Linked DNA regions of Arabidopsis thaliana. The protein of the gene in region 1 interacts with the protein of each later gene in a biochemical or structural test. Each region holds a gene or a part of one and is shown in the gene's direction. Other genes may lie near its edges.

Region 1 (9,225 bases):
TGTGCCTTTCACCAAATCGGATAGCTTGATTTTTTTTATGTTTTTGTAATAAATTAGGGAAATGTACCAATATGTTAAACTATTCACGGTTATTCTCAGTCACTACGTACATTAGTCGATTATTGCTAATCAGTACATGCTTGATTAAAAAACGTTTAAATGATGCAATTAAAGTGAGCAAAAATAAAAAGATTTAGAAGAGAGAAAGTGAGGTAGAGTGTACAATGCAAGAAAAATGACTGTTCTGGCAGCAAGCTCAAAATCAATGTAAGCCTAACCATGATGCTATATGTGAATTTTCTTGCTAATTTATTTTGTAGTATCGTTTAAAAATATTTAACTACAATTAGTATTTTAGGTTTTTGCTACAATATTCTTGGGAAAAGTGAAGTATCTTGAATTCCCTCTCCCCTTGTGGGGTTTCTTGTGTTCTCGAAGCCCAAAACAAAAAATGTCATTTTCACATGGGTCTTCGTGTATCAACCATTTACTAGTTAAACAGATGTCATATATATTGAAATTTCCCACGAACAAAAGCTATATAGCGAGGTAGATAATAATGTACATATACCGTTACTTAGATCTCTTGCGATGTAAGCGAATGTTGTTGATAAAGAAACACATGTACGATTAGTATGAACTATGAACAAGAAACCTCGTTGTTGGTAGATATAATGTTCTTTGTCACTTGCATTGGTTTGGACCAATTCAACACCTGGATATTTATGTGAAAGCACTAATGAATCGATAACAACACAGAAAATTGATTTCATATTAAAATATCAATACCATATGTTTTGTTTCATTGTGGTGGTTAAGGATTTAGGGATTAGGATACACGAAGAAATTGAGCTCATGGGATAGAACAAAGATTTTTCTCAAACGATGTTGTTGATTGGGCTCAGATTTTGGGCCTGTTATCCCATGAGCCCCTCTTCCTCATCCGATTAGGTTTTAGTTTTAACAATGCATTATGTCCATTATTTTGTCAAATGGTCCATTTTGTTAATGATTTTAAAGTGGTTTTTACATACAAATTTTTAGACAATTTGAAATGATTGGAATTTGCTGTAAAAAAAAAAAAAGATTGGAATTTAGGTCCGGGATTGGTCTACACTTTACTGGATCACCCTTATTTTGAAATAATAGTTTATTTCCCTTTTTTGTTCTACACTTATATTCATTTTGGTTTCAAATTCTCTGTTATTTGTTTCTTGTGTCCTTTATGTCATTTCTTTTTTGGTATTAGACTATTAGTTAACAAAATTATTATAATTGTGTTCAATAATGTCTTCAGTATGAATTTTCTTTTCAGGATTTTTAAGGTAGGAAAAATATGAAGTGAAGTAAAATCTAAAATTACCTTTTGGTACAAAATCTATAAAATATACACAAGTTCAAATCCTAGGTATGTACTCCATTTGTCCTTTTCATCTTTATATTAAGAAAAAAGATTGTAACTAGTAACTACTAACCCACTAAAGCAGTCAGTTCAATTTATTCCTGACACATGCTTACTTAAGTATGTAGTTTTCTTGTATCAATGCTCAGTTGCTTAAGTCTATGAGTATAATATACTCCTAAAGAAGTAGAAAGATTATAGAACGTGGAAGAATCAGGTCGACCATATGAGCAATGGGAAATCGCAGGAGAATAAACGCACTCCGACGAAGATTTCCTTCCCCTTTCTCTCTCTTTTTTCCTTTACTTTAACTTCAACTTTTCTACTCCTTTTTTCAGTTTAAATATATTATACTATATCTTGACCAACAAAAATAATATATTATAGTATATATTTACATTTTTTACGTAAATTTAAAAAACCAAAACAAAAGTTTTCATTTTTACGTAAATTCACTAACTTCTCACGTAAAACCCATGCTGTGATGATGCTCATACTGATATTCACAAGATTGGGAAGATGGTACGGTTGATAAAAAAATAAGACGGCAAAATGAAGAATTTGGAAACAGTTAATCACACATAGTTGGTAAAATTCAATTAATTATCACAATATTTAGTAAAAGCTAAAATCAAGTACTTCAACTTCCACTAATTAAATATATGATTGATGACTCATTCTCCATTGCTAGGGCCTAGGATGCACAACAATAATGTTCTGCTACACATTGAGCTAGTCACACAAACTTGGCCCTGATACCAAAAAACAATATTAACAAAAGGACTTCAAGAGAATAGCATATATAATTGGTGCAATTTGTGCATATCCAGAATATGGTCCTGGGAACAGTAAGATGAAACAAAACCTTACTAAGAGAATTAGAGAGGAAAATATCCAAACTTTGTATGTGGTGCAAATTATTGGGAAGATGATTCTACTTTTGTAATCCTTTCATGAACATTAATTATTTCCTCCTTTTTCCGTATGCTTTACATGATACTTCAATTTTGTAAGAATATTGGAACAGATGCCAATAACGCATTATACTATTGATCTGCAGCGAGATTTGTCCCATCATCCAATCTTCTCCACTTTAGTGGAAGATCAAAAAATTTAAGTCTTACAAATTCGGTTGGATTGTTATAGCCACACGATAAATCTAACTGTCATGTTAAATTATTTGGGAAATATGCAACATTTTTCTCCCGTAAGAATAGGATTTCATTTATATATAGACCGTGAATAAAAACGATTTTGTCATAAGTTTTATCAAACCATGTGTGCGAATAACATATTATGAAAGTTAATTAGGGCATTTATGTAATATATATGTGAAACAAAGTACACAGATGCATGCATGATGTAAATGGATCATTGATATAATGTGACATAAAAAAACAAGGTAATTGGTTACAAAGCATCTCGATGCTTACCTCATCTTGCTCAACCTAATTCGGCATTTTTTGCCACTTTCAACTCCGTACTTCTTTATGGTTTGTGACATTTTAATGTTGTCATTCACTAACATTTTCGGTGAACACAAGATTCATTTTCTTTATAAAAAGCCATACAAAATTTCCAATAACACTTGTTTTTTGTAGTCAAGACCTTTTTCTTTTCCTTATTGACTACGAGTTTGAGTGCACCGTTACGCACGATGCAAATGGGCAATGCATGATTGATTATTTATTAGTAAGTACATTTTAACAAAAACTTAAATTCATTTTCTAGCATATTTACCGAAAACTTTATCAAAAAACATACATTCGAAACGTGGGGGTCATGAATGTTCTTGCAGTAAAGTAAGATGTGATTGAAAGGGAAAAAGATAGAAAAGTAATAAAATAAGATAAAAAGACAAAGATGTAATTATTAGACCCTTCAATTAAATTAATACGAAAGTAGGAGGAGGTGGGCCAAAATAATGACAAAGAAATTAGAAAGGCGAAAAAGGAAAGAAATCAAAAGTATAGGGACTTATCATAAATAATGTAACAACACAACCTCATCAGGGCAAGTGTGTGGATTCACCTATTTCAGGCATTTGTTACTTGTTGCAAGTTTCTCTTCGTATCACTATCTCATGTTGTTTCGTTTTGACATATTTATACAATAATTTCTTTATATGCGAATCATTAAATATCATTATCATTAAAGTTCAAATTTAGGTAGGGAGATATCAAATATCAAATTTCATCTTATGGTGAAATACTGTTTTCATTAAGATGGATTTCTTTAGAGAAGAAGACAAAAGAGGAAAGAGGATGAAGCTATTTTAGAGTGCATCAGTCCTCTAGCCTGTCACTGGTAGTCCTACTACATTACATCAATGTTCTCCAATTTGTTTTATAAAATATAAATTATTTTTTTACACATAATAAAATTAGAAAATTATTGAATGTAAACCCAAGTCGATTTTGGTCAATTCATCGTCCATGTACAATATGCAGATGTTTCTTTTTAAAAATCTTTATATATAACTTCTATGTAAATTTTTTTTTACCCCTTCTGTACCATTTGCTCTTATCATAGTTTAGCTTACCGTTTAACCAATCCATTTTAATAGAAATAATAGATCTATCATGCCGGTAAAAATTACCAAAAAATATTGGGTTTAGTTGTTAACTAAGGCCCTGTTTGTTTGATCAGTTAGCATTTGCATTCTAATGATCCATTTACATGATTCATTTGAATGGTTTATTTGAATATGTTTGTTTGATTATTTGATATTTTTTCTAAATGATGCATTTAAATGAATATTTTTTTATTTGATTATTTTGTAATTCATCCACATTTTCATTTAGATAAAAATAACTAAAATACTCATGCTTTCACTTTGACAAATGAAAGTATTTTACGGTTTTGGCGGGAAAAATGATTCTACGGTTTTGGCGGGAAAACAAAATTTTGCGGTTTTAGCGGGAAAACAAAATTTTGCAGTTTTAGCGGGAAAACATAATTTTGCGGTTTTGGCGGGAAAACATGATTTTACGGTTTTGACGGAAAAACATGATTTTGCGGTTTTGACGGGAAAAATAATTTTACGGTTTTGGCGGGAAAACATGATTTTACGGTTTTGGCGGGAAAACATGATTTTGCGGTTTTGGCGGAAAAAATAATTTTACGGTTTTCGCGGGAAAACAAAATTTTGCGGTTTTGGCGGGAAAGTATGAATTTAACGTTTTGGCGAGAAAAATGATTTTATGGTTTTTGCGGAGAAAATGAATTTACAATTTTGACGTAAAATAATAGTCCGCGATTTCATGATTCTTAGAATGTTTTTTTGGTTTAATATGTAATTAAAATTTTTATATTAAATTAGAAAGTTATAGAAAATTAACATTATTAAAAGAGGGTATATTTGTCATTTGTTGTTTTTGAGTAAACCATCTCCATTCAAATGGTCCTATCAAGTCTATCCAAATGAGTTTCATAATTTTGCTTAATTTTTAAAAATCATTGAGATGGATCATCCAACTGATTCATCCAAATGGTCTCTTAAATTGTCAAAAGCAAACATCATTTTTCATCTCCATCTAAATAATCCATCTGGATGAAGAAACAAACAGGCCCTAAGTATCGTAATTATATACCGCTTTTTTTTTTTTTGCGTTTTACATCTATTAAATTTTTTGTACTGTTTTAAAACTTAGTCTAATTTAGTTTTAAAATTTATATGTAATTTAGTCTAATTTAGTTTTATATCTATTAATCGGACTTATTAAGACTAAATTAGAAAAACATATATGGTTCCAAATATACAAAAAAATTGGCATTAAGAAGAACAAAAAAGACAAAGAAAAAGAGTGAGAGAGAGACTGGAGTAGACCAGCATCCACCATCCCGGGTCCGACAGTCCGTATCAGCATCCCCTGATTCACTCTCTACAAATGTCACTCTCTTGCCTCTCTCTCCCTCTCATTTAAACGTTTTTCGGCTTAAACCTTTTCTCAGCAACAAACTCATCTCCTCTGAGAGAGACTGTTTGTTTGAGAAGAAGACGAACGTAAAGACTTGTTTACTAAACCCGAGATTTCTTTCTTTCTTGTTTTCAAAATAAAAAAGCAGAGATCTCTTCTCCTTCTTCTTCTTTTTGCTTTGTTTGCTTTTGCTTTCTCTTCTTTTTCTATGTGTGTTTGTGGTCACTACCCCGAAAAAAAATAAAGTAATGCTGTCTCTCTTCTCTTCAAAATTATTGTTAACCTCTCGTAACTAAAATCTTCCATGGTAGTAGTAACAAAGAAGACCATGAAGATTCAAATTCATCTCCTTTACTCGTTCTTGTTCCTCTGTTTCTCTACTCTCACTCTATCTTCTGAGCCCAGAAACCCTGAAGGTAAAATTTGCTTCTTTTATTGTTACTTTAGTTTAAAAATTGGATCTTTTTTCTCAACTCTATAACAAAAATCCGTTTTTTTTTTTTTTTACAGTTGAGGCGTTGATAAGTATAAGGAACAATTTGCATGATCCTCATGGAGCTTTGAACAATTGGGACGAGTTTTCAGTTGATCCTTGTAGCTGGGCTATGATCACTTGCTCTCCCGACAACCTCGTCATTGGACTGTGAGCTTTCTTTTCTTCCGAGTTTGTTTTCTGCTTTTAGAGTTCATTAATGGCGACAATTTCTCTCTCTATCTCTCAATGGTAGAGGAGCGCCGAGCCAGTCTCTCTCGGGAGGTTTATCTGAGTCTATCGGAAATCTCACAAATCTCCGACAAGTGTAAGATTACGACATCCTCGGATCTTGTTTTCTATAATATAAAGTTTGTCTTTTTTGCTTGTTTCTCAATTCCAATTTTTTTGCTTTGTTTGAAGGTCATTGCAAAATAACAACATCTCCGGCAAAATTCCACCGGAGCTCGGTTTTCTACCCAAATTACAAACCTTGGATCTTTCCAACAACCGATTCTCCGGTGACATCCCTGTTTCCATCGACCAGCTAAGCAGCCTTCAATATCTGTGAGCTTAGCTTTGCTTCTCTCCTCTGTTCTTCAATCTTGTTTACAATGTAATGATGATTTGTTTTCATCGGTTCATTAATCATCTTAATAACCTCGTACGAATTGAATTTCCAATAGGAGACTCAACAACAACTCTTTGTCTGGGCCCTTCCCTGCTTCTTTGTCCCAAATTCCTCACCTCTCCTTCTTGTGAGTGTATACAGATTTGTCCTTTCACCTACTGAAGTGTTTTGTTTTTTTTTGTCTGAAATTTAAATTCTTTTGAAACTCAGGGACTTGTCTTACAACAATCTCAGTGGCCCTGTTCCTAAATTCCCAGCAAGGACTTTCAAGTATAATAAACCTTAAGTTTCAAAATTTGAAGTGATTTCACAAATTCTTGTAGTTGAAGTCAAGACTAAGTCTTGCTTCTGCTTTCCTTTTGAATTTGTAGCGTTGCTGGTAATCCTTTGATTTGTAGAAGCAACCCACCTGAGATTTGTTCTGGATCAATCAATGCAAGTCCACTTTCTGTTTCTTTGAGCTCTTCATCAGGTAAAAGTCTCGTTCTTGCAGTGTTTTCATCATTGTAATGATCCTTTCATTAATCAATACTTGAGTGTGTGTGTAGGACGCAGGTCTAATAGATTGGCAATAGCTCTTAGTGTAAGCCTTGGCTCTGTTGTTATACTAGTCCTTGCTCTCGGGTCCTTTTGTTGGTACCGAAAGAAACAAAGAAGGCTACTGATCCTTAACTTAAACGGTTCGTCGATTTGAGCTTGTTGCTTATATAACTTTGATTCAGGAAGATGTTGAGTTTTTAGTTTTGCTTTTAGCAGATAAACAAGAGGAAGGGCTTCAAGGACTTGGGAATCTAAGAAGCTTCACATTCAGAGAACTCCATGTTTATACAGATGGTTTCAGTTCCAAGAACATTCTCGGCGCTGGTGGATTCGGTAATGTGTACAGAGGCAAGCTTGGAGATGGGACAATGGTGGCAGTGAAACGGTTGAAGGATATTAATGGAACCTCAGGGGATTCACAGTTTCGTATGGAGCTAGAGATGATTAGCTTAGCTGTTCATAAGAATCTGCTTCGGTTAATTGGTTATTGCGCAACTTCTGGTGAAAGGCTTCTTGTTTACCCTTACATGCCTAATGGAAGCGTCGCCTCTAAGCTTAAATGTTAGTATAATGTCTTGAACCATCAGTCCAAATCTCATTTTCGATGAGTTTTAACCAATTTTGTTTAACTGTTGTAGCTAAACCGGCATTGGACTGGAACATGAGGAAGAGGATAGCAATTGGTGCAGCGAGAGGTTTGTTGTATCTACATGAGCAATGTGATCCCAAGATCATTCATAGAGATGTAAAGGCAGCTAATATTCTCTTAGACGAGTGCTTTGAAGCTGTTGTTGGTGACTTTGGACTCGCAAAGCTCCTTAACCATGCGGATTCTCATGTCACAACTGCGGTCCGTGGTACGGTTGGCCACATTGCACCTGAATATCTCTCCACTGGTCAGTCTTCTGAGAAAACCGATGTGTTTGGGTTCGGTATACTATTGCTCGAGCTCATAACCGGACTGAGAGCTCTTGAGTTTGGTAAAACCGTTAGCCAGAAAGGAGCTATGCTTGAATGGGTAAGAAATGACACTCAGAAGTACACTTTCTTGATTACTTCATAAGATCAACCAAATTAACATTTTCTCCGGATGCTGTTGTAACATTGGTTTAGGTGAGGAAATTACATGAAGAGATGAAAGTAGAGGAACTATTGGATCGAGAACTCGGAACTAACTACGATAAGATTGAAGTTGGAGAGATGTTGCAAGTGGCTTTGCTATGCACACAATATCTGCCAGCTCATCGTCCTAAAATGTCTGAAGTTGTTTTGATGCTTGAAGGCGATGGATTAGCCGAGAGATGGGCTGCTTCGCATAACCATTCACATTTCTACCATGCCAATATCTCTTTCAAGACAATCTCTTCTCTGTCTACTACTTCTGTCTCAAGGCTTGACGCACATTGCAATGATCCAACTTATCAAATGTTTGGATCTTCGGCTTTCGATGATGACGATGATCATCAGCCTTTAGATTCCTTTGCCATGGAACTATCCGGTCCAAGATAACACAATGAAAGAAAGATATCATTTTTACGATGGATCAAACAATCCAATGAAAAAAGCTCTACACTTTTATAATATAGACATGTATATGGTGGTGAAAATTGATGAAAAATATCTCTACAGTTTGAGATTATGTGTTCGTTATGTTGATGATGTATATATTAACTTTTAATTGTGAGTTTCTATGATTATTTTGCTTCCTTTAACATTATGATGATGACAAAGGAAGAAACTATGAGACTGATTTGTTTGAGTCTTTTCTTTTGACCAGAATCTGATTTGCTCTCTCTCACACATACTCAAAATCGTATCAAACAATTCCTGAGAATTTATCTTTTGTAGTTATCATAAGCTGCTGCTTTGTGTTTGTGGTCCTTTAAGCTTAATGTGTTGCGACTTTTGTCCAACTTTGACTCTCATGTGTCATTTTCAGTTCTCATCACAAACCAAACAAAGCTTATCCCACTCAATCGAAAACGTCGTCGTTCTGAAAAGTAACAGAAGAGAAGAAACGACAGCGTTTTGAGAAGAAGAAGACGAAAAACAGAACATATATAAAAAGCAGAAAACATTAAGACAGCTGCTTAAACAATTTGGGAGACATGGCGAATCTGTCCTCTCTTCCTTCTCCTATCTATTGTGTTTCTTTCAATCAAGATAACAGGTGAGTTCTTCTTATTTATTTGAAAATCGTTGAAGATAGCGAATTCGATTCTCTTAGTAGATTTTCGAGGAAAAGTTCTTCTCAGATAAC
Region 2 (7,868 bases), on another chromosome or scaffold:
TATGTAATATGTGCGTAGTTTTTGGGGTATGAGCTATAAATAAAATTCTAATGTATTAACTACATGTACATAGAAAATATTTTTTTAAATTGCAGAAAATAATGATGATGGATACTAAGTTGCAAGCTAAGATGAGAGATCTAATGAAAGGTACAAAATCAAAGTGATAATAGTACGTCCAGATACAATTGCAACTAGCTAGATAACAAAATCAAAATCTAATATTATATAAAAATTTTAGTTAATTGCAATGTGATGAGATGATAATTGATAAAGTACTACGACAATACGAAGAACACTAGTTACTAGATAGATAGTGTTGTGATAATATGTCAAGGTTTGGATCGACCAGACAATATGGGACCTTCACGATGTCTGTCTCATGTTTCCTGCATGCCATGCATTCTATTTACTCTCGTCTACTCTACGTGCCCACGTCTCCACTTTTATTCATTTTCTTATTTGTGATCAATCAAACCTAAAGAAAATGTTAGGCTAAATTGGATCTGTTTTCTTATATATCGGTACGCTTAAACACATATAATTAGCGTTTAAAGATTCCTTTTCTTAAAGGTAGGTTCAGTTTACTTGTAACCTAGGTTTCTCGAAAGATGAGATGTACTTAAATGCTCGTTTATATTTTACTCCAAATTAAATACTGTAGTTGATAACATCAGTTTTCAAATTAGAGACAGTGTCGATGCGAGTGCATTCAATTTTCTTATTAATTGATAAAACCATATTATTCGATTTGTTTTATTTCTTTCTGAGGAGGTTTGTCTTATACTTGCATCGATGCATGCGATGTAAACTTTGTAGAAGCAATTCCAACCATGGATATCGCAGATACTGAAGTAACTCCATAATCAATCATTTACATATCTATCATATACATTAATATTGAAAGTGTTTTGATATTGGTATTTCTCTATATGAAAAAACAAGACAACCCGAGACATTTTAACTTCAGATTATAGTGTGATATCGAATACCAAATTGACCTTTCTATCGAAGATAAACCTTAATATAGATAAAGACATATAGTTACTAAAGAAGTAAGTTAATGAATGTTGAATAAAAACACCAATGGTAAGCTAAATATTAAACAATACAAAAGAGAAAACAAAGCTAATAAGTAAGAAGTAAGAAGCTAAAGAGATAGACTGACATCCATGCTCCCTCAACCAAAAGACAAAACACAGTGCATCAATGGCCCAGCTGTCACCACAACTCTTTTTTTTTTTGATATAGGAACTTGTTTTGTTTTCTATTCTATAATATTTATTTATTCTTCTTTCTTGTTATCTTTTTAAATCAAAACGATCGAGACTGAAGTTGTTCAATTTTTTTCGTAATAAGGATAGGAAATTAATTAAGGATAGAGAGCACATGAAAATACACTGTATGTACTGTAATGGTGCATTCAAGGACCCTTCAATACGTTCCAAGGCCACATGTGATTCTCACAAAATGGTTCAATATTTATGAAAGTTATTTGTGAATATATGTTAAGATAAAATGTACCTGGACCATTCTTTCTATTTGTATTAGACTATCTTACACGTGATTTTCTTACTCTTTTGATTTGACTTCAATTAGATCTATATATTGCATCAAACTTTTTACCAAATTATGCGTCAAGTCACACCAATTGATGAGGTTGGCCTTATCGAACTAGTGGAACCGTCATATGCGAAACCAAATATAAGAAATGAATGAAAGACCTTTCAACAAAATTAATAAGCAAGTAGAAGTAAATCCAATATCAATATAACAATTGGTTAAACCTAAATTATATGCATCCAATACGAAAATTCTTTTTTTGGTATCTTTTAATCCGTTTATTATATTTGTGGAGCCTAAGTTGCGGATCCACTTGTATTCCTTATTTGAATCATTGTTATCATTTCTCATTGTTTGTGACTCGTGAGCTAGAAGAAACAAAAACAAAAGGATAACGTAATTTTGATATTTAAAGTAAACCACTATAAATCATTGTGTGTGTGTTTTTTCTTGTTTTAAAAGATCGAATTAGGGAGCCTAACATGTTTTTGTCTCAAGAGATTATTATCATTAAAAAAAACAAGTGGAAGTGGAAGTTGTGTAACCCACTTGTTGAATTCTTAACTTCGAAGCACAACAAAAAGATAGACGAAAAACGAAAACTCGATCTAACTTCGACATATGCATTAGATAACATATAGAAATTTAAACAATCTCGTTGATGAAATTGGTCTATCAACACACGACAGTGGTTCTCTCTACAGTAGCATCAAATCGGTGGATCCTTATGAACAGAAAAAACGAGGAGGGACAGAGGAAGGCCAATGAGGGGTCATGCAAAATGGAACTTAGCAAAAGTACCAAAAAGATCCATCCTCTTTGAAAATTCATTTCAGCCCCATAATTATCCATGACATGAATTTCGATCTGAATCTCACAACAAGTAAGAGATCAGCTTTTGATAACATTAAAGAAAAAGGTAAAAAAAAGAAAGACGAGAGACTGAGAAAAGGGCAAAGACCTGTAGGGGTTAAGACAGCTAAGAGTGTTCCTCAGTCGCCCCACAAATGTCTTCTCTCCTCTCTCTTCAGTCTTTCTCAGCTCTCAAATCTTTAAATGGTTCCAAGTTCAATGCTCCCAAAACCCACGCCCACACATGCATCCTATGACCTTTCCTTTTCTATCCATTTTCTTCCCACAAATTACCACTTTGCAAACAAAAGCCAAAAACTCATTTACAAGATGAGTTAATAAAGACACTAACACACAACCAATGTGAAAACAGACGTTTACATGAGATATTGTTACCTCTAAGAAGTCATTAATCATATAATGAGAACATTCTTGCTTCCTAAGTTTTTACAAGATTATTAACCTCTAAGAAAGGAGAGACACTTTTAACGCAATAATAACTACATGATGTTATAAATATAGGAGAGAGTAGAAAAGAATATGACAGCCCTACTAAGACAGAGAATCATCATCGAACAGTAAAGAGGAGAATCTCTGAATATCCACTTTAAACTACTGCCCTCTTGTCTTAACTCTCAGAACCATTTAATTTTTCAGTTATTTTGACCCATACCCTTTTTGGCCTCTTTCCCTGCTTTCCAACACCTTCACACTTACTCTAGGGCTTCCACGGCTATATATATATGGTCCCTTCCTTAAACTTGTATCTCATAATTCACAACCAGCACTGCTACTACTAGTTTATCATTATTCCATCAATTTATTCTATATAGAGTTCTTCTCTGTTTATATTACGATATTGCTCGAAGATTACATACCTGAGAAAGATGGTTAAACCCTGTTGGAGAATAGGTGCCGGTATGGAGAGAAGTAAGATCAATCCCACAAAGGTTGATGGTTTGACATGGTACAAAGATCTTGGTCTTCACACCTTTGGAGAGTTTTCCATGGCAATGATCCAAGCCAACAGTGTGATGGAGGATCAGTGCCAGATCGAATCAGGGCCGCTTACATTCAACAATCCGACAGTTCAAGGCACATTTGTTGGAGTTTACGATGGCCATGGAGGTCCAGAGGCTTCCAGATTCATTGCAGACAACATCTTCCCCAAGTTAAAGAGTAAGACACCGACTTTTTTTATTTCCTTTATTGTTGAATCTGCCAGGCACACTAACACTGGTCTCACATGAACAGAGTTTGCGTCCGAGGGTAGGGAGATTTCAGAGCAGGTGATCAGCAAAGCATTTGCCGAGACAGACAAAGATTTTCTCAAGACAGTGACGAAGCAATGGCCTACGAACCCACAGATGGCATCAGTGGGGTCATGTTGCTTGGCAGGAGTGATATGCAACGGATTGGTGTATATTGCAAACACGGGAGATTCCAGAGCTGTGTTGGGCAGATCTGAGAGAGGTGGAGTGAGAGCTGTTCAGTTATCTGTAGAGCACAATGCCAATCTTGAGTCTGCGAGGCAAGAGCTATGGTCATTGCATCCTAATGACCCCACCATTCTTGTGATGAAGCACCGCTTGTGGCGTGTGAAAGGCGTTATCCAGGTAAACATTCATACATGATAACGCATCTGATAACCTGCACAGAGTTTTGCTTCATCAGTTTCTATGAAATACAAAAGCTTAAGAAAATCATATATTGAAGCCTATCTTGTGTAAGGATGTAAAACTGACTAGCAAATGTGTTATGACCTTTAACCAGGTCACAAGATCCATAGGTGATGCATACCTCAAAAGAGCAGAGTTCAACAGAGAACCTTTGCTGCCCAAATTCAGACTACCAGAACATTTCACTAAGCCAATCCTTAGTGCGGATCCATCAGTCACCATTACGCGGCTTAGCCCACAAGATGAGTTTATAATTCTTGCTTCAGATGGGCTTTGGGAGCATCTTAGCAACCAGGAAGCTGTTGATATTGTGCATAATTCCCCTCGACAAGTAAGTTCAATGCCTAACCCATATACAAATACGTTACATACTAGCACAATGCACACCAAGAACTATTCGTTAATACTAATACCTTCACAATCACAGGGAATAGCAAGGAGACTACTTAAAGCTGCATTGAAGGAAGCAGCAAAGAAAAGAGAGATGAGATACTCAGACCTAACAGAGATCCATCCTGGTGTAAGAAGGCATTTCCACGACGATATAACCGTTATTGTGGTCTATCTCAACCCCCACCCGGTCAAAACCAATTCTTGGGCTTCACCTCTGTCAATTAGAGGGGGATACCCGATGCATTCAACATCATGAACAGATCTTACGGCAAAAACACTTCCTGTGTCAAGGGCAATAAATTGGAGCCAGGGTCAAGAAAAGAACTAGTAGTATAGCTAGAAACAATATTAAGTTATGAGATCTTTGATATGTTCTCCACAAGAAAACATGAATTCTCATGTACCCCTGTATGCAAAATTATACACGAGGGTACTTGCATGCAATATCATCAATGTCAACGCTGGTAAAATTCGAAAGCGTTGCAACATATTGGAGTTTAGGCACAAAACAGTAGATAGCCAAGAAATGTGTTGAAACTTAACATTACATTCCCTTTATAAAAGTTTTCTGGCGCTTCATTCAAAATTAACAGAAAGCAAGTATCAACAAAAGTTTATCTAAAATCTATTACAGAAACAAAGAAACTGTGTAGCATCAGAAGCCAGCAAAAACGCAGTCCCACGAACAGAGAATTTAGAATCTGAGGCTCTCTTTCCTTCAACTGCCATAGAGACCAGAGATATGGAAACCAACAAGTACATCTATAGTTCTAATGATGTCTTACATGACAAAGAAATTCTGAAGTAGCGGCTTGAGAGGTCATATGAAATTAAGTAACCTAAGAACGACACATGTTTATGGGATCCATTTTGCATGCAATATTCGCAATCAAGCACAGAACACCAGTAGACCAGCTAAATTTCGTAACCAAGACTAAGAAAAACTAGCAAAATAGGCACAACTCAAAAGTAATCAACACTTCTAATTTCTAACTAGTTCAAAACAGTAAAAAAATGTCTCCCTTACTTAAATATTTGCTGCATGCAGTACAAATTTTCAATTGCTGGTGCTTGTGCTTGATACGAACATGCAATACTAAAAGGACCATCCACATTCCAATATATTAAAACGAAATAAAGTTATTAATCAAACTATACTTACCACTCCAAGAACCTGCAACATGGAAAACATCAATACCAGCCACTTCAGAATTCCTAGGTCCTAAACACATTGATAATTGTCATTTCAGACAATCAGAACTATAGGTTACTTATTGGTTTCTCAAGATCTCATCTGGTGATTGCTCCACGACCGAACTTAGTAAAGATACTACACACATGGACTTCTAATTCAGAAATAAAGAGAGAATGAAGCAGCCAGAGAGGGACTCATAAAACGCTAGCACACTACCTGCCCATATAACAGATTATGGAGTCAAATACGAGAAAAAATCGTATCAACAAGAGTTTGCAATGCAATAAGAATTATCTGGAAAAACTCACCTAACTACAAAGACGGAAAAACTTTATTGAGGAACCTTAGGCAGCGCTTCCTGATACAGCTGCCTCCTGATGAAACAAAGAGTTCAACAAGAGATATCATTAGCTTTTCTATCAATTCTCTCATTCTATCAGATGGACGACACAACAGAAGTTAAAAGACTGTTTACCTTGCCAATAATTTGCTTCTCAGGTAAATCTGAAGATGCATCTGCTGAAGCCTCTTTTGAAAACCTAATGATGGGAAATTCACAAACCACAAAAATCAATAATTAGAAAGCATGGCACAGTACTTCAGTTCTCAGGGACTAGAAGAATTTGAGGTTGCATAGAAAAAGTACCTCAATGCTCTAGCTTTGCGCTTATTTTCTTCAGCAGAATCAACTTTAGTCTCTTTTCCAAAACGAGCGAGCCTAGCTTTCTTCTTTGCCTCTTCCTCAGTCTTATCAGTAGTAGAGGTCGCAGAAGGAACCCCAAATCTGTTCAAAATACAAAGCGAGTATGAAACTCCTTTTTCTCTAAACCCAACCAATAAACAACTATCAAGTACAAAGAAAGTATTGTGACATACCTATCAGCTCTTGCTTTTCGCTTCAATTCCTCTGCTTTCTTCGTTCCCTCTGAGCCATTCACCACTGCTGCAGCTACAGTACCAAACCTGCACCGAAGGTGAAATTCCTTACAACATAGGTTTGACAATAAGTATAAAAAATTCCGTAACCCTAATTTTCGAAACCCCTAAATTCGACGGAATCTAACGAATAAATATTAAAGTCTTTACCTCTCAGCACGAGAATTGCGCTTCTCCTCTTCGGTCAATTTCACCGAAACACCAAACCTCTCAGCACGTCGAATCTTCTTCTGGATATCATCGACCGGAGAGATATCCCCAGAATCAACACCAGCCGTCGATCCAATACCATTAGAGTCGGTTTCTTCCTTCTTTTCACCAGAATCTGAAAATCCCTTGACTTCTCCGTCGAGAATGTCGTCAGTACGATCTAACTCCGTAGTGTTGAGGTCTACAATTTTCTTAGGGTTTTCACCAGTAGATAGCCCTCCGCCATTCACCACCGTAGCCGTGACCTTCTCTCCGTTGGTCGCCATGGAATCGTAGCTCCGTTCGAAATTCGCACTTGTGGAGATTCGTAAGATATCTCTTTCGCGATTTTAGCAGAAGACTATTGTAGGGTTAGAGTCGAACCGTCGAGTCTCGGGGACTTTTAAAGCCCTTCGACACGAAGGGTAATATAGTCAGATTAAAACTTGATTCTTATGGGCCGGATCGGATCTAAATTATAGTCCGATACATTAAGCATCCGAAATAAGGGGCAATATTGTCTATTTAAACTTGCTTACAATCCGGGTCTGATCTAAATAGCCCGGCCCAAATAAAAAATAAAACGACATCGTTTCATAATTTCATTTTTTTATGATTTAATCTTCTCCACCACGTGACCACGTCCACGAATTATCGGCCGGCGAAGTAGGAATGTAGGATTGGAACTTTGTTAACATTCCCGTCTTGTTTCATCCGTTCTTGAATATGTATGATGTATGCATGTCTCGTTTCAACACTTGTTCCTCCTTTTAAGCATCGTTGCACTTTCTCTTAGCGCCGGATTACTGAGAACGAAGTTTAGTGTAATAATCAACCAAAGCAATCAGTGGGTATTACTCAAAGCATTTAGTAGATGTGTTTTAAGTGTGGATGAGATAATGTTTTGCAGACCTCTTTAGTTTTTGTTTGGTCGTTAAATGCTGCAAAAGAACTTAAAGATCTCCCAAACTTTCTTAATATATTTTTATGTCAGTATGTGTTATGTGTTTTGCATCTTTGTTTGACCGTTTGGTATATTCTGTGACTATGTGAAAATCTAC

What was found.
Region 2: of the proteins of SARK (region 1) and AT5G02760, one has a biochemical effect on the other in vitro, tested with the Arabidopsis thaliana proteins (one study listed by BioGRID).

What each region holds. Positions count from the first base shown.
Region 1 is NC_003075.7:14,907,442-14,916,666, reverse strand, and holds SARK (Leucine-rich repeat protein kinase family protein), read left to right. Parts: upstream 1-5,220; 5' UTR 5,221-5,626; coding exon 5,627-5,738; intron 5,739-5,832; coding exon 5,833-5,965; intron 5,966-6,050; coding exon 6,051-6,122; intron 6,123-6,217; coding exon 6,218-6,361; intron 6,362-6,480; coding exon 6,481-6,552; intron 6,553-6,635; coding exon 6,636-6,695; intron 6,696-6,796; coding exon 6,797-6,897; intron 6,898-6,973; coding exon 6,974-7,105; intron 7,106-7,181; coding exon 7,182-7,526; intron 7,527-7,603; coding exon 7,604-7,983; intron 7,984-8,078; coding exon 8,079-8,474; 3' UTR 8,475-8,725; downstream 8,726-9,225. Other genes in the region: ATG18B (autophagy 18 B-like protein), read left to right, coding at 9,074-9,135.
Region 2 is NC_003076.8:622,075-629,942, forward strand, and holds AT5G02760 (Protein phosphatase 2C family protein), read left to right. Parts: upstream 1-3,179; 5' UTR 3,180-3,302; coding exon 3,303-3,594; intron 3,595-3,669; coding exon 3,670-4,031; intron 4,032-4,188; coding exon 4,189-4,425; intron 4,426-4,521; coding exon 4,522-4,743; 3' UTR 4,744-5,050; downstream 5,051-7,868. Other genes in the region: MOS11 (Protein MODIFIER OF SNC1 11), read right to left, coding at 6,027-6,056, 6,158-6,221, 6,329-6,466, 6,559-6,645, 6,769-7,094. UniProt on the Arabidopsis thaliana protein: Dephosphorylates and represses plasma membrane H(+)-ATPases (PM H(+)-ATPases, e.g. AHA1 and AHA2), thus influencing negatively plant growth and fitness. Promotes the apical hook maintenance of etiolated seedlings.